Linked DNA regions of Astyanax mexicanus. The protein of the gene in region 3 interacts with the protein of the main gene of each other region in a pairwise test. Links are inferred from orthologs where the notes say so. Each region holds a gene or a part of one and is shown on either strand. Other genes may lie near its edges. The genes, in order: rad1, tomm70a and prkn.

Region 1 (7,072 bases), on a different chromosome or scaffold from region 3:
TGAATTTTGTCTATATTCACATTGTCTGTAATGTCTGTGAACAAATCTGATTTGATCATTTTAATTTGGAAATTAACCTTCTAGTCATTACAAAGTTTGGTCTTCTTACCTGTTGGTTTGTGTCTTTGTACACTGGAACAGCTCCATCATTTCAGAGTCTTTGGGATAGTCGTAATGGGCATTTCCAGAATTTCCAAATGTGGACAATCTGGGGGGAAAACAATCAAATTAATTATTTATATTGTTTGATATTAGTAATATAATATGGTATTGAGTTTTAGGCAGTGTTTTAAATGTGATAAAGCTTTGGAAAACAACTAGTTAAACAGGGCTAATTATTATACATACAACATAAAAAAACATAATGCAACATGAAAAAAACATAATTTTTATTATTTTATCTTTTTTTTATGTGCCCATACTTACTTTTAAAGGGCCCAAAATATTCCATGATGTAAACATGTTTATTAGATAACAGGCTAGTTTTTATCCAGATGCACAAATCTAACCTAATGAGATTGTCAACAAAATCAATAATAGGTCAATAATAGGGGTGGGAATCTCTAGGCACCTTACGATTTGAATACAATTCAGAGGTCTGCGATTAGATTATAAAACGTTTCTCGATTCGTCTTGATGCATCTATTTCTTTTATACAGGATTTATTTGTTCTCATTGTATGAATATTAATGAAGTAGAGCATCTGTAATGATCCATAATATATCCTTAAAAAAGCATAGTTTTTTTTAATTAACCAGATGATTAGTACAAAAAAGTGCCTTCAGCATAGTGACGGTGTATCGACAGTTTGGAGGAAAGTAGCGGATGGCTTGATAGGTAGCTTGCTGGATTAATGATCGTAGTAAAAAAAACCCAGCTTGACAGCGTGAGCGGCAGAAAACAGACTCACACAGGGAAGGAGAACATCAGGGAAATGCGAGATCAAATGTTATGCGTATTTTAGAACATGCATGCAAAATTCGTACATGTTGGCAAGTCTAAATCGATTTTTAGCATTTATGAATCGATACAGAATCGCCCACGTCCGAATCGAGCTGAATGTATGTAAGACACAAAAATGTCCCCCACTCTTGGTCAATATCATTGCCAATAAGACAAGGCATAGTGTTTCTGTACCTGAAATAGGGGTGACTGGGTGACATTGTTAGCTGCAGGATCTCACTGGTCATGTCCAGTTCTGAGAAAGCCTCTTTCAGGCTGTCTGACTGAAGTATGACCTTGTTGGTCACATTGGTGCTACAGAAGTCAAAGTCTAAGGGTTCCTCTGGTTCTTGGGTGTTAATCTTGCAAACAGTAACCACTCCTCCTTCCTCCAGGAACAGGGTCAATGGATAGCCATAACCATTGTAGCACATTTTCAGGGCAGTCATCACTCCTTCATTTTTTTAAAGAGAGAGAATGTATGATCCATCAAGATAAAATCATAAACAGTTTAATTACAATATGTTTTTAATGTTGTTTTAGCTCAATCAGTGATGCAACTACACTAACAGTGCATTATTATATCTAATCATTATTTATCATAGAAACGTGCCTGGCACTGTGCTTCCTCCAAAGATGGTGAGACAATCCAGAAGCACAGTTAGGTTAACCTGAAACCCAACCACATCCTCTTTAAGTGTGAACTCTTGAAAAATGTCTGCCTGCAGGATGAGAAAACCACACAATCAATTACAGTCAAAATGCATTTAAAACTGAGTGTTTTTGAGAATTCTTAATGTCTCATTCTGAACACTGACCTGAATGAACGCATTTGCTTGAAGACATTTGGAGTCTTCTACGGTTACTTTTAACCCATTCTGCGTCGCATTGAATATTGCATGGTCTTTGAAGGATATTGCTTTTAAGATGTTAGAAAGGTTTCTCACATTATCCAAACTAGCTATCAGGATGTACTCATCATTCTCTGGTTGAGACTGAGTTGACAAAGGCATTCTTCTGATCACAGAAAACACCTGCAATGACATTATAGAAGATAGTTAAAACTGAGACTCTGTAGTCCAGGGTCCATATTTATGTCCATAGTATATTTTACCATATAATAGCATATTTTTGGTAAATCAAATAGGACCATAAAACATGGCTGTTGAAATTTATATAAATATGCTTAAAGACTGAATTGTTTTCCTGGCACTAAATGTAGGGGTTGAGGTTAGAGCTGTACAATATTAACAAATGCCCTATTGATATAAATAGATTATTTATTAATAGATAATTAATACAAAAAAATAATATTGCAGTTTTTAACACAGACATACTGCTCCACCCCACTGGGCTGTCGAACACATAAAGCATTAATATTAGCTTGTTAGCTACCTACTTCTACTCATATAAAAAAAAAAAACTAAAAGCAAAGCAGTAGCAAGCTAAACATTTTTGTTAATTGTTATTTAACTTCTAATGTTAGCTAGACATTTGTTAAACATTAAACAGCAACACTAAAGTGATCTCAGGAAACTTTTAAAACAGTTTGAGCAGCCTGTCAAAAATGGCCAAAAACCCAAAGGAAATTGTGATTAACTCAGGATGCATGAAAACTGTGATTAAAAAACAGCGTTATTCCACCAAATATCTGCATCAACTGTGTGTGTGTGCCGAAATAATAACCAGTTTTAGATCTTACCTCAGTGTGTATTAAACTACATGTAGTTTCAGTAAGAGGGCTGATTTGTGGCGCTGAATGTTTTGCTCGTGTTCTTCTTCTCCGTTTTTTCTCAGCAGCTCCACTGCCCCCTGCAGTGTTGGAGATACCGGGAGGCTTTTCATAATAAAAGTCCTACTAAAACTTTTAATGGATTTGATATGATTCCCAAAGAATACGTATAAAGGCCTTGAATAAATCTGTATAAATACTATTAAGTCTATAAATACTTTTTTGGGACGTTTTTGAATGTCCAGGAACACAGCACTGTGTGAATGCTGTGGGCAATGTAAAATAGGGAACATATATTATGGGATATTGGTGTTACAGACATTTAATAGAGTTATAGTACAAAATAAAGTGTTATATACATTATAGGAACACATTTTTTAAACGCGTAAATCTATTGTTTTGTTTTGGCCCCCGGTTTAACGGGGCAGTGCACTGATCCGCCGGTCGCCGTGGCAGCGGCAGAGACTCTTCGGGGCGGGGACGGAATCTCATCATCTGGAGCAGAGCCGGTTTACGGAGAGCCTGCCCACTTCTAATTATATCAGAAAATAAGTGCAAATCGTTAGAGGGAGCCCGCGAGGGAGTCCAAAATGAATGGGGGTGAATGGAGCTAAACAGCTAAAAACTCAAATTAAAATGATTAATTAACTACGTGTCCCGGATATTACATTAACGTAAAAAGTAAATTGACTAATTGAATAAATTTGTTAATCAAGCAAATAAACGTACCCGTATTTTCTACGTTATTACAACAAATATTTTTGGACAACAAATTGCATGCATCAATGTAATGCTGATCACTTTATGATTGTTTAAGGCTAAATAATAAAAAAAAATAAAGAATTGGGCGTTACTTTTCATTATTTCATTTTTTTCCATCTGGTTTAATAAAAAGAAATGGGTTTAATAAAAAGAAATCTTAAATTTAGGGAAAATGAAAAAATAAACCTTTACTCAATTCTTTAATTTTTCATCTAGTATTATAAGGTTGGATTTTACCTTTTTTTTTTTTTTTTTTTTTTTTACCTTTTTTTGGATTTAAAATTTTGTAAAGGTCCATTTCTTTTTTTTGTTGTGAAATTTTAGATTATGGAAGGCCGAAATGTAAAACGAAAATGGCCTTTACTATAGCATGTGGGGGGAAATTGTATTTAGCCTTAAATGGTCTGAAAATTACGGGTAAACATTGCACTGTTCTAGTTACAGTGAGATGACTGTTTAGCAAGCTTATGCGGTAACAAAGACGTCCATAACACATTTAAAAGGTTTGTAACTGGCAATAAAGGGCGTTAAACATTATTTAAATATGGTTCTGTATTGAGGAAATTAACATATTTTTAGTATGATTTTTATTAGACATATTAAACATAAACTATGATTTTGAGCGCCCTCTGGTGCTGTGATGAACCCGGAACACGTTCTGTAGTGGGAATTCTCCTCAGTAGAGAATCTCTGATCTGGAGAGTCTTTCTGCCACATAACCGAGAGAAGCGGCGAGCGGAGAAAACGGCGAAGAGACCGGCGAGATCAGCATATCTCCATTAATTCAGCTTAGCGGGTATGTGTGGAGATTCCTTCACTTTCTATAGTAAATAAAGCGGTTTATAATGTTAAATACAGTGTGTTTTTTGTGGTGGGTTTACTCGATAGCTGCGTTGCTAACCCCGCTAGCTGATTGTTGTGATTAGCTGAGTTGTTGTGTTGTGAGAGAAGCTCTGTAAACTGATGTTAAACTCGGCGGATCAGAGAGCAGAGCTAAGAAACTGCAGCTTTACAGGCTGTCAGTTTAGTCAGTTCCGTTTAGATACTCTGTTTTAATGTGATCAGGAATCCTCACTATACCAACACCAGTTGATCAGCAGCCATATGTCACCCAGCTGCTCAGATAACCTACAAATAGTCTAAGATAGGTGGTAGATAATACCCTGATATACAGCTCTGGAAAAAAATAAGAGACTACTTTAATTTCTGAATTAGTTTCTTTGATGTTGCTATTTATCGGTAAATGTTTGAGTAAAATGAACATTGTTGTTTTATTCTATAAACTACAGACAACATTTCTCCAAAATTCCAGATAACAATATTGGCATTTAGAAAATTTATTTGCAGAAAATGAGAAATGACTGAATTAACAAAAAAGATGCAGAGCTTTTAGACCTCAAATAATTTAAAGAAAACCTCCACCATTCTTACACACTGCTTTTGGATAACTTTGTCACTCCTGGTGCAAACATTCAAGCAGTTCAGTTTGGTTTGATGGTTTGTGTTCATCCATCTTCCTCTTGATTATATTCCAGAAGTTTTAATTTTTTTAAAATCAATCAAAGAAAATAATTTTTAAGTGGTCAATTATTTTTTTCCAGAGCTGTATTATTTAATTTTAGGGCCATATGGGCATTATGGTACAATTTTGTGATTTTTTCAGTAAAAGGAAAATTCCCATAGGTCTTATTTCCCAATAAAGTCTATTAGAGACAGATTATATCTGTCCAATATTATTTATTTTACTAGATATATGAAGATATTTGGAGTGCATTATTAGTATTATGACATGTTGCATCATTGACTTCTATTACAGTCTGGTAAAAATGCCAATTAGGGGTGCACCATATCATATGGTATACAATTATATTGGCAAATACATTTTAATATTAATTTTCTTGCAGTAGTGTATTCTTAAATTTATTATTTTATTTATTGTTTTGTCATATCCCCAAAAATAATGTTATCCTGAAATATCCTGATATAATTTTAGGCTCATATTGCCCACCCCTAGTATAAGATGACACCAGATTTTACTAACTCATACAGAATCTACTTATTTCAGATGTCACCTATGAAATGTTTACTAGTAATAATATCAGATCTACAGATCAATAGATCTATAAAGCTTTTCTGACCTGTCATGTGTTACTATTGATTTACAATATTCATTTACAATGACCTTTACTATCTCTTATCTATAATTAAAATGTTACTAGTACACTGAAGTACTAGTATTTCAGTGTATACATGCCTATAATTGTCACAGTTATTAGTAACAGAAAAATGATTACTAATAAAAATATATTTTATTATATTCATTATATTATTGGTAGTCAGAACTTGAATTGTATATTTATTTACTGTCAGCTTATCTACAAAAATATTGGTCACTGCCTATCATAAGAGATGGGTAACCATGCTTTATCTAATCTGTTTTTAGGTCTATAATTTTTATTATTGTTATGTTCTCTTTTGTTCTCTTTCCTGACAATTCTGTCTGTCCCTTGCATTGCTGTAACATTGTGAATTAACCTGCTGTGGGATTAATAAAGGCTTTTCGTATAATACTTTATGTTATAGAGATTTAAACCTGCCCATAACATTAGTTACTAATCAGATCAAATGTCTCTAAGTGTTATTTATTTTTTAACTTTTTTACTTTTCTCTACTGTAGTTGATCTGTACCATATGTCTCATTAAGTCCTGTTTTAATCATCAGTTTAAACCTTAAAGAAAAGAAAAGTTTACATTTATTCTCACAACTGACTCACAGTTTAAAAAGACTGTAATCTTCTGTTGCTTCTCAACAGTTGGACCTAATCAGTGATTGGCTGGCCTCAGGTCATGGCTAAAGATCCACTGGCAGAAGCTGGGCTTCACTTCGATGAACTTAATAAGCTACGAATACTTGAACCTGATGTTGGTCAGAAGACCACAGAGCTTAAAGAGGAGTGCAAAGAATTTGTTGACAGTAAGTATGGCTGTATTATAATTTATTTCCAGACTTTTAACACTTTTATTATCATGTTAATAAGGGCCAAAATGTACACAATCAAATTTATCACAATGTATTAATTAATTTAGATCAGTTCAGTAGAAAAACTGCCAAGAATGTCCACAACGGTACCCAAAAACAATTATGATTGTTGAAATCAACAAGTGTTTAAACATCATATCACCATTATTGAAACATTCTGATATATACTCAATTTGAATTACTGTCCATCCCATGTAAAATAACCTGTTAAATACTTTAAAGTCTGAACACAGAACACTGATGGAAATGAATTACCATGAGACAGAACCAAGTGGCTTTAAAGACTTTTTGCAAACTTTTTACAAATTTAATAAAAACTTACAGTCTTTAAAAATGCATCTATATTTTTCATATATTAAATCAATTAAGTAGACAAACATTTAACATTGTTGCCCTGATGTTGAAAGGTTTGGTGTTTGCACTGGGTAACTGCATGTGCACTTTCTTACTCTCCACCACTTGTCAGATAACAGCTTTAATTAAACTGATTTCATTTCATTTCTTGGAAAACAGAAATTGGCCAGTTTCAGAAAATAGTGGGTGGACTCATTGAGATGGTGGATGAACTGGCCAAGGAAGCAGAAAAAGAAAAAATG
Region 2 (8,094 bases), on a different chromosome or scaffold from region 3:
CAGATTGCGGTGCTGCCAATTCTGTATCTACTGTAACTGTAGATTAACCCTTATTTATAAACATAATTAAAAGGGATCTGAGGGAAATTTATTGCACTCATTCTGCAGCGGGACATACCCGCCCTTGAGTGGAAACAGATTCTGTCAGTGAGGAAAAATTCTTAAATAATTAATTAGAAATAATCAGACTAGAGTACAAAGTAGTGTTTAAGTAGGAAAAAAACAATGAAAGACCATGACAGACCACGCCCACTAGTTTCTGCAGTCGTGTAAAGCTGATATTCTTACGCTCTAGTACGTTCATGTGTGTGTAATCCAGTCATTCGTCAGTCAGGAGGAGTTAAGAGTTTTGGTTAAAGCTGATTTTAAGGTCAGTGAAACATCACCCAGTGAACTTTCACTGAACCCGTCCAACATCACCAGTCCCATTATATTCAACAATAACCAGGGCTGTAAGACTCCAAAAATGAAAACGTTTCTCATTAAAACTACAGGAATTTAAAGATTTCACCAGAAGTCAATTAAATAAACAATAATACGGTAGTAACTGAGTAACAAAAATGATGAGTATATGTCATGGAAAATATTCCTTTCAAATGCAACATTCTGTGCATGATATAATTTATCACTGTAGCTAACAGCATATCTTGCAGTGTGACTACTGCACCTGCCCACAGATACAGAAGCTTTAAAGGAGGAAATGAACCACAGCGCAGATCTCACCCTAACCAGCTAAACTACTCCTACTGTTAAACACCACGTTAACAGATAAACAGGGGGTTGAACAGGTAAAATAGAAAATTTGGTAACCTTAAAGCCTTTTCACATCACATCTGATTTTACTGATTAAACAAATATGATTGTCAAGTTTTAAAAATGAAGACGTGCATGTTATTGATGATTTTCAAACTGAATCTGAAACTGACAGACTGTGCCACTCATTAACGTTGTATTTTCAGTAGTGTTGGATGTGTTAAAATCAGCTCCGTCTTCATGGCTGCAGACCAAACAAATGAGCCTGAAGCCACAGCAGCCACTGAGCAGCTGGGGAATGATGTAAGCTACTCATCTCTTTATCTATTTACTTTATAAAGTTACAGTTAACAAAAAAAACTTTTTAGACTTCTGGATGAGGAAATTAAAAAGCAGGAAAATTAGCAGAAAGCACAATGAGCAGAGAAACTGAAAGATTGGAAAGGGCTATGGCATGTTTATCCATTTTTTCAACCAAAAATGTATGAGTGAAAGAGTATGTGTCTGTGTTGGAGAGGGAGAGAGAGAAAGAGAGATAGTAATGAGATTTAATCCATATTTCAGCAGAAGTAAAAAACTATTGACTTCTGAACTCGTCAGTAGCAGTGCAGGGGTAAATAACCCACTAGTACATCACCAGACTGCAAAAGAGAGTAAATTACGGCAGGACACTGGGCCACAGTGGCTCATTAACTCGACAGCAGCTAATTATCAACTGTAAGAGAACCTCTATCAAAACAGCTGGAAACAAAACCATGCTGACAACTCTAATGTGGACAATGTGCTCCAATTTAAACACACATTAAGATGAAATTGATCACAAAACTATTTTTGTTTGAAATATGTATTGTCACAGAAAAAACAGTGATAAACAATATTTTTTAATTTGTGCCACTGATATAATTACAAAGAAATTACACAGACATACAGAGGAACATTAACCTTCACTTTAAACTATTTCTTATACAACAAATGCCAATTTTCCAACTAAAATTGCCCACCTTGTAGTGTAGCTTGCTGTAACAGGGTGTGAAAATAAAGTGATAAAGATGGGAAATATGATTTTTGTAAAGTCTTACTAGGAATGCATGATGGCACTGAAATTATAATGGTAACAGCTGATATTTCAAACTGATAGTTGACTTGTAAGCACAAATCAAATCAGATTTATTGTTGCAACACACAAGTACAGGTGTACAGTTGTGTGCATTATCACACTAAGTACGCAGTAAAACACAATACATAAAACATAAAATAAAAAGTATAAAACATATACTTAAATTACACAATACAATTGGCTGTCACTGGCCATGCTATTTTAAAAAACAGTAATTTAAGATCTTTTTTATTTATTTGTATGTATGTACTTATAAAGATATAAAGACATAACGATCAGGGTGTGTAGTCCCTCTCTGTATATTGGCATTAGCATAAATATACTGTATATGTATAATATTAGATATTGATATCGTACCAGAATTCCCGCATCACTAATTCTTACGGTTGTAAACATGAACAAAATTTTTAAAAATCTTAAATCCCTTTTATACAGTTAGGAGACGTTAAAAGGCGCAGAATTAAAAAAACAGAAATTAGAGCTGAATGATCTTATGCTGGTTCTGGTCATTCCTGTCAACACATAAAACTGTCAGTTAATAAAATATTAATTATCTTATTGATATGTTTATTTATTATAAACCTCAGCAGCGACCTTTACCTATAGCTCACACTGCCCAGAACATTAGGAACACTTTTACACCGTATTCATATTAAAGCTCAGTAACAGCCGCAGCTAATACCGGGTCCGGTACCTGAACCGGGTGGGCGGGCTGACGGTGTGTTAGTTTTAAGTTTTAAAAGCGGCTCTCACCGTGTCCTCGTGCTCGGACTGCGCGGCGGCTCGCGGGCCCTGTACGGGGCTCGCGCTGCCCTCCGGGGTTTTCCGCTCCCCTGCGCGCTTCTCCCCCGCGCGCCTACGGTACCACAGGTACGCGGCGCCGAGCCCCAACGCCACCGGCGCCCCGAACAGCAGCGCGACCTGCCACCGGGGCAGCGCCCCCCCGGCCTGCGGCTCCACGGGCTTCGAAGCAGCCATAGCGCGCGCGGACACCCAGCAGCAGGACAAGCAGTGGCACCAGCACGCACGCGCACCACTTACCGCCCGCAGCGCGCACGCGCACCACCGGAGGGGGCGGGGCAGCGAGCCGCGGAATGCTGGGATACCGGAGGACTCCCACTGCAGATACTTCCGGTGCATCGGTGACGCAGCTTCCGCAGACTTTTATTAATATTATTAACAGTAGAATCAGACAAAACATTGAACAAACACCGATTGTGATCCGTGTTCCCCATTAAGCAGTGAAGGCTCCATCAGAGCTGAAAAAAAAGAAACCTGGAAGGAACAAAAGCTCTTGTGTACCCTGTACTGTCACAAGTGCTATAACATGTAATATTAGGCCTAATTTGTAAGGGGTTCCCATTTTCCTCTGGTCAGACTACTTATAAATTAATATTAAATCGTTACACATTCACCTAGGTCTAATATATTTGGATGGATAGCCACACCAACAGTGAAAGCAGCACTGAGACTCCACTGTCCAAAAAGCTAAGTGACTGTGTGCAGCGGAAAGGATAACATTATTATTTTTTTAAGTTAAACTAAACAAGTAATCTTAGTTTAGTCTAGACTTAAAAATGGAGTCCTGAACATTTTCAGGAAGGTTATCCCTATATTTGTATTATTATTATTATTATTATTATTATTATTATTATTATTATTATTATTATTATTATTATTATTGTAAAGTATAGGAAACTCCAATCATAAAGTTGCATTCTTTATACATTTTTAAGACTACAGAGCAAGCAGCATAATTTTTAATAAATAAAATTTATTACAATAATAATCTGTATTAACAATAATCAAATATGCCAATATTAATTAATCTGTACAATGTCATTGTTGTCTGTTGTATGTTTTAAACTGTGTTTTTTATTGTATAGGTTCTTCTTAATAATAAATTATATTCAATAAATTCAATCACATATATTTTAATTTTGACAATGAAAAAACAACCTTTATACAATCTTTACTTAACATTACCTCACGTGTGTTGAAATCGCTATGGTCCAAGCTATAAGAATAAAATATAGACAAGATACACATATTTATTTATGCATATTTAATTTACGTTTAATGCATAAAAAGACATGTAATACATTTAAAACACATACCATAATGTTGAATTTGAATGTTGAATCGATATGCATCAACATTATTTTAATGCAGCAGAGATTAACAAAAATTAAATAGATTTAATGTACTTTTACTTGTATCTGAGGTATTACTTTGGTATTTTATCCCAGTATTTTGGGTATTTATTTTCTTAAATAGTGCTCCAGTGTCTAATGCTTTTTGTAACCACGTTTGTTTGTATTATATATCATTACCAATTTCCTTTTTAAAAAGAAAGGCAATTCCAGATGTGAATCTGTGTTGAACCAGCAGAGGGCGCAGTCTCCCCGCTTCCACTGCCCAACATGCTGCTGTGCCACTTACCGTACAGCCAAAACCTTATGCTGATCAGTTTGAGAGTATTCCCAAACGAGACATTTTAGTGGAAATCACTCTTTGTATTTTATATATTTTATTAGATTTACATTTTATTTACAAAATGTTTTGAACATAAAACAGCACTAAATCAAATTAAATATGATGAGATTCCAGCCTTCAACACCAGATGGCGGCACCGATCCGAGTTACAGTTTATTTGTCTAAGCTTTGTAATAAAATATTTAAACCTAACAAAAGAGTGATAAATTATGACAAATCACTGTTTTATAATTCACTGTTTTATAAGTCACATTACCACTATCCTGCTTTTTACAGGCAGGTTAGATTTATAGAGTCAAAGCGCAGTCAGTTTATATACGTGATATACGTGACTGATGAAGTTAAATTTACCACAGAAGATTAAAGAGATTATGGAATGATATTTAATACAGAGAGACACACATACTGCTAAATTAAGCTAAGAAAAGCTAAGCTAGTTAACAGTAGAGGGGTTTATCTTATTGCTTATGATAAAACAATGAGCTCCTGGAAGACCACTGTTATTGTCAGCACCTCGCTTCAGGTGGTTAATATTATTATTACTGTGTTAGTTATTTATAACGGTAGGAGTTTGAGACAGGGATGCTGAACATACTTAGCCTAGCTTAGCTTAGCTTAGCATTGCGTAGCTTAGTTTATCCTAGTGTAGTGTAGCTTAGTTTAGCGTTGTGTAGCTTAATTTATCTTAGCCTAGTGTAGTTTATCTTATCAAAATTTAGCGTAGCACAGCGTAGCTTATCTTATTTTAGCATAGTTTAGCGTAGCTTAGCTTAGTTTAGTGTAGTTTAGCTTAGCGTAGCTTAGCTTAGTGCAGCGCAGTTGACCTTAATGTAGCTTAGTTTAGTGTATCTTATCTTAGTGTATCTTATCTTAGTGTACCTTAGCTTTTCTTAGCGTAGCTTAGTTTAGCGTTGCTTATTTTAGTTTAGCGTAGTTTGCTTAGTGTACCGTAGCTTAGCTTATCTTATCTTTGCCTAGCGTAGCTCAGTGTAGTTTAGTTTAGCGTAGCTGGCTAACTAATCATCGAATCCTGTCAGAAAATCGTGGGCTAATCACAATAATTAAAACATATCATTCTAACAATTTTTTTGAGATAGAATAAATCTAGATTTAAATTCAGAGACGTGAAAACAGGAATTACTTTTAATCTTATTTCTGTTTTCTGTTAGCGACCAAATAAGTTTAATTTTTTAAAATACCAGATTTATGTTACTACACTGTATTTTATTACACATCGGGCTATATTCTGTGTAAAATAACCCAGGTTAGGTAATGTGGTAAAGTTAAACCCTTTTTATTGTATTTCTTGTGAATTTGATTTATTTGTGTAAACAAAACTGTCTCCACACAAAGTAAATGAAGTAGTTAAGTTTGTTGGTTGATGAATGAGATGTGTTGTCAATGTAATAGTTTTGTTTAGCTTGTTAAAGCTTCTTTGGATGTCTTTGTTTGTAGAATGTAGTTTTTTGGAAATTAATTATACCAATATAGTTTTACACATTTATAACTTACAGAGACTTTACACCCCAGTATAACCTTAGCTATATAGCTTTGAAACTAATAAAAAATGCTTAAACCAGTAAATTGGCCACATTACCAGATGCCAATGATTCTAAAAAAAAAAAGGAATTATCTGCACTACCCATATAATTTTACCCATATAGAGGCAACATCATTTAAAGGGTATATAAATGTTAACTTGTAATGGGCTTTACGTCTGATGCCTTTATATGGGTAAAATGATATGGGTTTCCCAGGTCAGTTGAAAGAAAAATGTAGTTTAGTAAGCTAGTCCAGGATCTAAAGTAGTACCTGAGCTTCTTGTGCAATATGTTGAAAGGTGTTGTTGATATCATTTACTATCATGATACCTTTACTTTATAGGAAAAAAAAGTTGTTACAGAAATAAGATTTAAAGTAATTCCTGTTTTCACGTCTCTGATTTTAAATCTAGATTTTTTCTATCTCAAAAAATTGTTAGAATGATATGTTTTAATTATTGGGAAATTAAATTCCTTAGCATTTTGGGGGGTGAGGTAGGATATTATTAAAAAATGCTCCAAAAGTTTAATTGGAATAAATGTACTTTAACAAGTAAACACATATTTATTCTGACATTTAAACTGTTTTATGTTGCATCATTTCTTTACAGAATCATGAAGCTTTATGGATGATCTTGTCACAGCAGCACAGACTTCGATTTTCAGACAGTGTTGAACATGGAGCATTGGTGTTTCCTCTCTCAGGTAACTTTATATTACAGCACACTTTACCACCATCAGTGATCAGAATATGGCCAATAGAGGATGTCTTAGACCAGATCAGCTGAACCATGGTCCTGTTTGTTTTCATTGACATTTATTTGAATGCTTCCAATTTAGTTCAGATTGATTACAGGAAGTTGAGTCAGGTAATTATCATCCATTAAACAATAGAAGAAGATAAAGAAGTATACTTAGTTCTTATACTTCTGTGGATTTTGTGTTGTGCAGGAACAGCATTCATGCTCATCACTCCAGAGGAGTTCCCAGAGAAGTCAGAGAGCTCAAAGTTCTTTAATCGGATTGAAAAGTTCGTACAGGTCCATAGAAACAGCTTCCTCTTGCTTCAGTCCCCAGTATACGGTGCAAGGGAATGGGAGATTGTGTCCACGGTGCAGAAGAGGTGCATAAATCCATAAATTTATCTCAGTCTGAGCATATTAAGTAAAATATTGTAGATTTATAGTTCTGAGTTAGACTGAAGTATTACAGTGTTCAAGTGGGACAGAATGATATAATATAAAAAATAAAAAAGTGTTTTTGAAGAATATTACAGCAGCTGCAGGTGGAAAGACGTATATGATGGTTACCTTCTATACTCAGAATGCCACATGGTATGAAATAGGAGCTAGTGTCATATCTCATGACTTTTGCTATGTCCCATGAAAGCTAAAAAACTCTAAAGATCTGTGGAATATAAGGGCCTGTATTGAATGGGAATGGAATTTGTACTTGATTCACTTATCTGTTTGCATAGGCAGTTCTAGCCGGACGCCGTCTGTCACCATAATTACTGACCTACACTATATCGACAAAGGTCGATATACCTTCTCATCCTATCCAAAAGTATTGGATGGAACTCCATAATTCCAGAGAACAGAGAGATTAAAAGGGTGTTAATGTAGAATTCAGACTGTACACACTCATATTTTCTTGTTTCAGATTCTTTGGCAGCAATCTGAAGGTTTTACCCCTCCACAGTAATGTTGACATTGTGAAGGCATTACTAACCATTGCTAAAGTAAGTACACACAAAATGCTCAATTTTAGTTACAAACTAAAACCTGTGTGCAACTGGATGTTTACCTGTGTCATATAAATGTAAAACATAACAAAGTGATTACTACTTAAGATTTGCGATTGTTTTATTACTATACTTAACCTATCATCTCTGATTTTGCTGTTTCATATTCTGTTTGTAGTAATAATTCTGCAGATTTCATGCCCTTAGTTCCAGTGGCCACCTTATTTTCAAGAGTTTGCTCCCTATGAATTAGTGTTAGAATTTTTGGTCAGTTTATATTAAATGGTTTATGGTTGTATTGTATTTACACTAAATGCAGTCTGATGTAGCTACTGCTGTGGACTCTGAACATACAGTAGCTAGATATGGAAACTAAACAGTTTAGCAGACCATCAAATGTTGTTAGCTAGCTAGATTAACTAGTAAGCTTACATCATGTGGAG
Region 3 (7,514 bases):
TTTGCCTATACAGGCGAATGTAAACAATACAACCGGAAACGTCGGAGCCGCATTATTTGAAAACGGCAGGTCTGCCCACTGGGAGGTGAGACCTGTAAAGCTAAGCTAAGTAAACAAAACTAATTAAAAAGGAAAAAAAAATTCAAGCAAACAAGTGCTGCATGTTAATCTAAACAAATTTCTCTGCTAAAAACTGTTTATTTGGGTGAGTAAAGTGGTTCCGTTTATTTACAGTAAGCTTAAATTTCCAGGTTTCCACAAAAGCTGGAGAATTAGCGGTTAGCGGCTAATGCCACCTGACAGCGCTACACTGAGGAACCCAGAGTGCTCCAGTAAGACAGGGCGATATCAGCTAGCGGTTTGTTCCACGTAGTTTGTTTTAATACGGTTAACGTGCAGGCTACAGTCCAGTTTACTCCCATCTGAACGGCAAAAGTGCTAGAGCTGTGGTTCGCAGGTAATGCTGATGCTGCTCCAGCAGTGGTATCCAGCGTTAGCAGCAGGCTACAGGCCGATAATACTCAACTCTGAACGGCCAAAGAGCTAGCACTCAGCAAGTGTAGCGGCTAATGCTAATACTGCTCCAGAGAACTAAACTAAGGCTGTGACCGAAATGGCTCCCTACTCCCTCATTAGTGTTGCGCTATTTAGGGAGACACTATGTAGTTCACTAAGTAGTGGTAAAACAGGAGTGAATTCGGACACTAACTTATTATCATGCCCCAGCACCGGTCGCATAAACACACACACAGGTGAGAGAGGGTTGAGTCATGTTTAAAACTCCATAAACACACTGAACTGATCTATGAATTAAAGTTAGTGAAGCTCTGAGCTGATCATGAAGTCATTTCTCTGCCTGTATATTTACACTGTTTAAAAGATAATCCTCACATTATTGAATTACATGAAGAAAACCTGAAATTAACAGAATACATCGGCTCGGGTGTTGCCAGATTGGGTGGTTTCATGCCAAAGGTCGAGTTGTGTCTGAAATTCTATGGAGGAAATGCTGTACTAAGAGTTTGGGAATTGAACTCACCAGTGCTGTAGTTAAAAATCTAACCTGGCAGAGACAGACAGAGCTTTTAGTCCTGCTGATTTGAAGCTGTGTTTATGCTTGTTATTATATGTGAGTATTTACTTCTTTCATTGCTTGCAAGCTTATTTTTATGTACTATACTTCTTTTTTTGGTTCGTGTGTCCAATGATACAAGGCACAAAACACAGAATACAAACATGCAGATAAACTCAGTTAAATATCGTTTTTTTTTTTTTGTAATAAGTGAGACCTCAGGTATTTTATTTAAGATCATGTTGGAATAAACCCTGTTATATTGTTGATATGAAGAACATCAGCTGTTTGGGTGGTTTTCTCAGTATTTTGGCGGATTTAAAACACGTTTTACCCAGTGAATTTGTTTTATCTGAATCCCACTGTAACAATCTGGCAACCGTGGTGGCTCGCTGTCCTCTCAGTTTCTTCGGCTGTCTGTTGCTTAGTATCGAGACCCGCAATGCATTTTTGGACACATTTAACTCGCTTAGTAAGAAGCGATGTTTACTATAAATCAAGATGCATTATGGGAGTTTTTAGTGCCCTCAAAATTACGTTCGAATTCCCCCTTACGATTTAAGAAAAATGGCTGATACACTCAATAGTGCCCTAACTAGTAAATAGTGAGCCATTTCGGTCACAGCCTAAAACTCCTGTATAAAGCTGTGCTTCAGCGGGGTGGCTTTACTGCTCCTTACAACCTGACTGAAAATTTCATACATAAGGTGCACAAAGTATAAGTTGCGCTGACGATTTTGGGGAAATTGAAAAATTTTAAGTGCGCCTTATAGTGCAAAACAATGTAAACTTTTTAAGGACAATTTTATCACATAAAAGTTCAGTATGAGTTTTTAATTTGTCAACACAAAATTAATGTTTTAGTAGCAAATTTCACTGAAGTACAGTTTTGTTGCAGAAATTTAGGCTCAGAGAACAAATTAAGTAAAAGCAGTTTTATAAAAAATGTTTATTAATTTTATTAATTTTAATAAAAAAAGCACAGTTTCATAAAATAATACTAAGCATATATTTTTATTTAGTAAGTTACATCACTAGTACACAATTAGCACAGCCAAATAAAGTATAGTTGTTGTTTTTTATAAAATGTACTGAAATACAGATTAAGCAGGTAAAAATAAGCATAAAGAGCATAAGCTTTTTCTCCTTTGGTTCAAAGTCTTTCCTCAAAGTCTCGCGAGACTCGGGCTCCAAATGTCAACGACCCAGCGCACCTACAGTGTTTATACTGACTTTTGGGGGCGTTTTATCAGTAAACGCTGTTTTAGCATTCCTGTCCTGACCTGAACACGATAATCCTACCTGGCTGTAGTAAAATAATTAACTTCACTTTGTTTATAGACTCGACCGGGCAGCGGCTGTGCTACAAACACAACACAAACACAGCTTTATAAAACTCCAGCGCGCGGGACACACAGCCGACCGCGCTCACAAAACACAAACACGCTGAATTTCAGTTATGACTTACCGATCATTATGAGGACTCGTTCAGCAGCAGCAGAGTCTCATTCCGCTCAGCTCAACTCCAGCACAGGGTGACTTTATTCACAACACTGTTCAACCATGATACTGAGCGTGTACGAGACCGCGGGGGAGTCTGGGAAATGGAGTCCAGAACATAGTTTACTCTGACAGATCAAGTGACTTACACGCAAATATAGGTATCCCAAGTCATAGCATATAAATTACCTATTGTTTTCTATGTTTTGTGATTAAATAGAAGCATTTATTGAGGTTAAACAAAGTAAATAAGAGAGGGAGTTATGTGGAGAGACACTACATTTCCGCTAGTGCCGTTCAGCGCTCGGTGTGTTGACGGAACTGTGGATATGGAGAACTGTGCAGCGAACAGATGGTGCTAACGCGCTGTTTAACCTCTTATTTATGTGGATTTTGTGACTGAAGCTCCGGTTTTAATCGCGTCCAGTACCCGGGGAATGATGCAGGGAGTGTCCGGTGTTGGTGCGGTTCAGTTCGGCCATGAAGCCCCGCGGAGCGACTGTTTAGCGGGTCAGCTGGCGCGGAGTGACGCTGTTGATAGTTATGTAAGACTGCAGAGTATTCACACCCTCACAGGCGCGCTCAGAGCCGTGTGTTAGCGCTGTACAGAGATTTTACACGTTAGAAATGACAGTAAAGCTGCTGAATGAGAGCTTGTGTGTTGCGTGTGTGTGTTTTCACTGATGCAGGGGGAGGAGGTGTGTGTGTGTTCGGCTGCTGTTTTGGTGGGGTTTCCACTGATGCTGTGATGCTCAGTGAACCGCTTCAGCAGCAGCAGCAGCGTTAGCTTAAAACACACAGAAACAGATACAGCTAAGCTAAGCTATATTTTGCCTTGTTAATATATTTAATAGTAATTTATTATTTAACCAGTGGCAGAATAAATATACACAGTGCAAAATAGCACATTTGTAAAAAATCCCATTCATACTGTTATATTACATTTTTATTAAAGACAGGGATTGAATATATACAGCTCTGGAAAAAAAGAAAAAAAAGAGACCACTTCAGTTCATTTTCTCAGATTTTGCTATTTATAGGTATATGGTTGAGTGAAATGAACATCATTGTTTTATGCGATTAACTACGCACAACATTTATCCCAAATTCCAAATAAAAAAATTGTCAGTTAGAGCATTTATTTATTTATTTAGAGGAGAAAATGAGAAATGGCTGAAATAACCAAAAATAAGTTTTAAGACCTTAAAACAATGTAAAGAAAACAAGTTCATATTCATGAAGTTTTAAAAGTTCAGAAATCAATATTTTGTGGAATAACCCTGGTTTTTAATCATAGTTTTCATGCATCTCAGCATGTTCTCCTCCACCAGTCTTACACACTGCTTTTGGATATGCCACTCTTAGTTTAGCTTGGTTTGATGGCTTGTGATCATCCATCTTCCTCTTGATTATATTCCAGAGGTTTTAATTTTGGTAAAAATCAAAGAAACTCATTATTTTTAAGTGGTCTCTTATTTTTTTCCAGAGCTGTAATATATATATCTCAAAAAATTAGAATATTATTGAAAAGATAATTTATTTTTAGTAATTCTGTTCAAAATGTGAAACTCCTATTATATAGATGTATTACACACAGAGTGATCTATTTTAATGGTTTATTACTTTTATTGTTGACTACAGCCAATGAAACCCCCAAAATCAGTGTTAAGAAAATAAGAATATTATATAAGACCAATTGGTACTTTTGGCAGTGTGGGCAGTATGGCATGTCCTGCTGGAAAATGAAATCCACATCTCCATAAAAGTTGTCAGCAGAGGAAAGCATGAAGTGCTGTGGGATTTCATGGTAAAACAGTGGACCAACACCAGCAGATGACATGTCTCTCCAAACCATCACTGATTGTAGAAACTTCACACTAGACCTCAAGCAGCTTGGACTGTGTCTCTCCACTCTTCCTCCAGACTCTGCTTCCTTTATTTCCAAATTAATTGCAAAATTTACTGATGATCAGTGATGGTTTGGAGAGACATGTCATCTGCTGGTGTTGATCCACTGTGTTTTATCAAGTCAGTGCAGTGTTTTCCCATGAAATCCCACAGCACTTTATGCTTTCCTCTGCTGACAACTTTTATGGAGATGTTGATTTCATTCTGAATCACTCCATGACTGTCTTGCTTGACTACCTTCCACGTTCATACCTGACCACTCATTCCCTCTGGTTGCAACAGTTTTTTTGATGATGAGTGTACAGTATATCACAGAACATTGTGCAATACTACTTTTCATGTGTAAATAATAAGGATGCATGATGATATTGAGATTATATAAGTATCTGCCAATAATAAATGTTTTTTTTTTATATAAACATTAGTATTGGCTGATTAGTGTCGAACAACGCTAGCCATACTACTACAGTTTGCCGGCACTGGCTGCTCTACTTTAAAATTCATTGATTTTTTTATTACTTTTAAAGATATAAAAATATACTGGGTGTTTAGTCTCTCTGTAAGTTATAAATGTGTATATCGGCGTTGGCATCGGCAGATATCTACATGTATGATATCGGATATCGGCATAGAGCCCAGAATTCCCACATCGGTGCTTCCCCAATGATTAAACACTTTCTTGACAATAATAATAATTGGGAATATTTTTTTTCCTCACTTTTTACTCAGTTTTCAGTATATAGACTCATGTATACAGTACATTGTAAATGAACACATTTGTTTATATACTACATCAGATTCCTTTACTTCAAGTGTAGAACGTTCAGTTTTAAGAACAGTGCAGTATTGTTGATTTCACGGAACCCCTAAGGTGTCATAATGGTGTCAAAAATGCATGGCTATGACTTATTAAGCCAAGAGAATGAGATCCTATGGTGTGGCCACAACTTATTAGGTGTGGGAATGAGATAATTAAGTCTTAGCCAGAAAATAATACAGCTTTCATTTCACTAAATTAATGTCCATGAAGAAGACTGAAAATTACTTCAAAGCTCCAATCCAGGTATAATATTTTGTAAAAAAAAAAAAAAAAAAAAAGTTTCTCTTCATTTTCATTTTGGAATTAATTATGGTGGTATTTTGGAGTCTCTTGCAGTGAGATATGTCATAAATCTAAGTAAAAGACACATTAAATTCTCATACTAAAAACTGATTGGCTCAGACGCAGAAAGTATTCAGACCTGTTTACCTTCCTTGGGCAGTTATATTGAGCACAACCCCTGAGAGTTGCTTGCTTTGTTTAGGAACAAAAGGATCTTGTGGCCACGCCTTAATGGCTACGATTGAATTAACTCGTTCCCACGCCTTATTAAGTCCTGGCTATGACTTTATTTTCTCGTTCCACACATTAGGATCTCATTCCCACACATTAGGTTTTCATTCCCATACCTTAAAAAGTCATTTTCTAGATTTCTCTATTGCTTGAAAATTATAGAAACTGTTTAACGTAGAATTTAAGTGCCATTTAAATGACAGGAAGCCTTTTAATTGTGAAATGTTCTAATATTTAGTGAGTAAATATGTAATCGGATTTTGATGACCTAGCCGAGTGTAAACTGAGTGAGCAGCCCTTAACTCTCCCCACCAAGTTGTGTAGTGTGGTCTACTTATAAAATATAAAAATATAAAGAAATAAATTTGTTTTTGACATATATACAATATAGATAATGATGACTAACTGTTGCTCTAGAAGACAGCTGGGAAATTGAGTAAACAAGCTTATCACTTGCCAGGTGGCTATGGCACATGTGCTAGACTGTACCTAAAAAGGCTGTTTCTTTATCTAAGATCTATAGATAATATACTGAATTTTCCCAATAATACTTTTTATTGTTGGACTCTTTGTGATGGTATTTTTTAATACTTTTATTTTATTATTTTTTTATTTCCTGCAATCCAGGAAATAAAACCAGTGAGATATAATCTATACAGGTCCTTAGACATTATAGTGAGCACTGTGGGTTTTTATGCTTTAGAGAAAAGTATATTGTGCACAGTGCATTGTTAAATGCAAACCCCACATTTTGAGGCTTTAGGCTTACCAGATCTTATTAAAGAAGGTTCACAGTGTCATACAGATTTCAGTGTGCAGGATCTGTGTTTACATTTTAATAGCACATTCAGAGATGAAGCGATTTAACACGTGAAAGCAGGATTAGATCTGTCCCAGAACAGCTTGCCCTGTTTGCGCGTGTGTCTTGCGGAGACGTCGGCTCTGCAGCCTTTAATAAATGCATGGACCTGTTAAATCTGTGGAAACGGTAAATGATGTAAACCTCATTAATATTCAAATTGAAACAGCATCAATGTAATGTTTTCTGCATCTCTTCAAATATGATGTGGCATATTACAACCTAAGTTGCACCGTAAAATGATTGACTAAACACGATTCAATTTGCATATTAATGAGCGAGATGGCAGATTATAATATTTGGCCCTTTTTGCCTTTTCCCTTCAGGGAGTAACTGTAATTTCAGACGTTTGCTTTTCCAGAAATAACTGATAGCTTTGAAAAAAAAACAAACAGATAACTTTAAGAACAATGGAGCGTGATTTAGTCTTATTGTTGATCCTACGCTCCATGTTCTGGGAGTGATATTTTCCTTTCTGGGTAAAGCAAATGGAAAAAGTGACCAAAGTAATTTAGCAAAAATTAGGTTAATTTGCCCCTTTTGCTCTGGCCTGTCCCACAGGGTGTCACCTTTATATAAAACCTGTGTAGATTCAGTGTGGGTGTAGAAATGTCAGCCTGATAGAACATTATCATTTTGCTGTAAAAGGGTGCTGCCGGATTTTAAGAATTTCAGTATGCATTATTATTATTATTATTGTGTTATTCTGATTTCAAATGTCAGATACTTTTGCGAGTGGATGAAGGGTATAATTAGGCACTTAAAAATGATGGAATTCATTTTTTTTATTTTATTTTGTCTGTTCAGCTGAGAGCGTTTTAAAAATCTCTGTAAAGTGGTTT

What was found.
Region 1: the proteins of prkn (region 3) and rad1 interact in binary tests that used the Homo sapiens proteins (3 or more experiments, as listed by UniProt). The link is inferred for Astyanax mexicanus from reciprocal best matches to the Homo sapiens genes PRKN and RAD1.
Region 2: the proteins of prkn (region 3) and tomm70a come close enough for resonance energy transfer, tested with the Homo sapiens proteins (3 studies listed by BioGRID). The link is inferred for Astyanax mexicanus from reciprocal best matches to the Homo sapiens genes PRKN and TOMM70.

The regions. Positions count from the first base shown.
Region 1 is NC_064425.1:16,836,235-16,843,306, reverse strand, and holds the start of rad1 (cell cycle checkpoint protein RAD1), read right to left. Parts: upstream 3,089-7,072; 5' UTR 2,645-3,088; intron 1,977-2,644; 5' UTR 1,956-1,976; coding exon 1,761-1,955; intron 1,665-1,760; coding exon 1,556-1,664; intron 1,397-1,555; coding exon 1,138-1,396; intron 209-1,137; coding exon 110-208; intron 1-109. Other genes in the region: ift20 (intraflagellar transport protein 20 homolog), read left to right, coding at 6,284-6,410, 6,990-7,072. UniProt on the Homo sapiens protein: Component of the 9-1-1 cell-cycle checkpoint response complex that plays a major role in DNA repair. The 9-1-1 complex is recruited to DNA lesion upon damage by the RAD17-replication factor C (RFC) clamp loader complex.
Region 2 is NC_064412.1:47,145,732-47,153,825, reverse strand, and holds the start of tomm70a (mitochondrial import receptor subunit TOM70), read right to left. Parts: upstream 3,026-8,094; 5' UTR 3,011-3,025; coding exon 2,624-3,010; intron 1-2,623. Other genes in the region: protein SPO16 homolog, read left to right, coding at 4,845-4,889, 6,519-6,612, 6,859-7,030, 7,570-7,648. UniProt on the Homo sapiens protein: Acts as a receptor of the preprotein translocase complex of the outer mitochondrial membrane (TOM complex). Recognizes and mediates the translocation of mitochondrial preproteins from the cytosol into the mitochondria in a chaperone dependent manner.
Region 3 is NC_064414.1:19,273,325-19,280,838, reverse strand, and holds the start of prkn (E3 ubiquitin-protein ligase parkin), read right to left. Parts: upstream 3,113-7,514; 5' UTR 2,548-3,112; coding exon 2,541-2,547; intron 1-2,540. UniProt on the Homo sapiens protein: Functions within a multiprotein E3 ubiquitin ligase complex, catalyzing the covalent attachment of ubiquitin moieties onto substrate proteins. Substrates include SYT11 and VDAC1.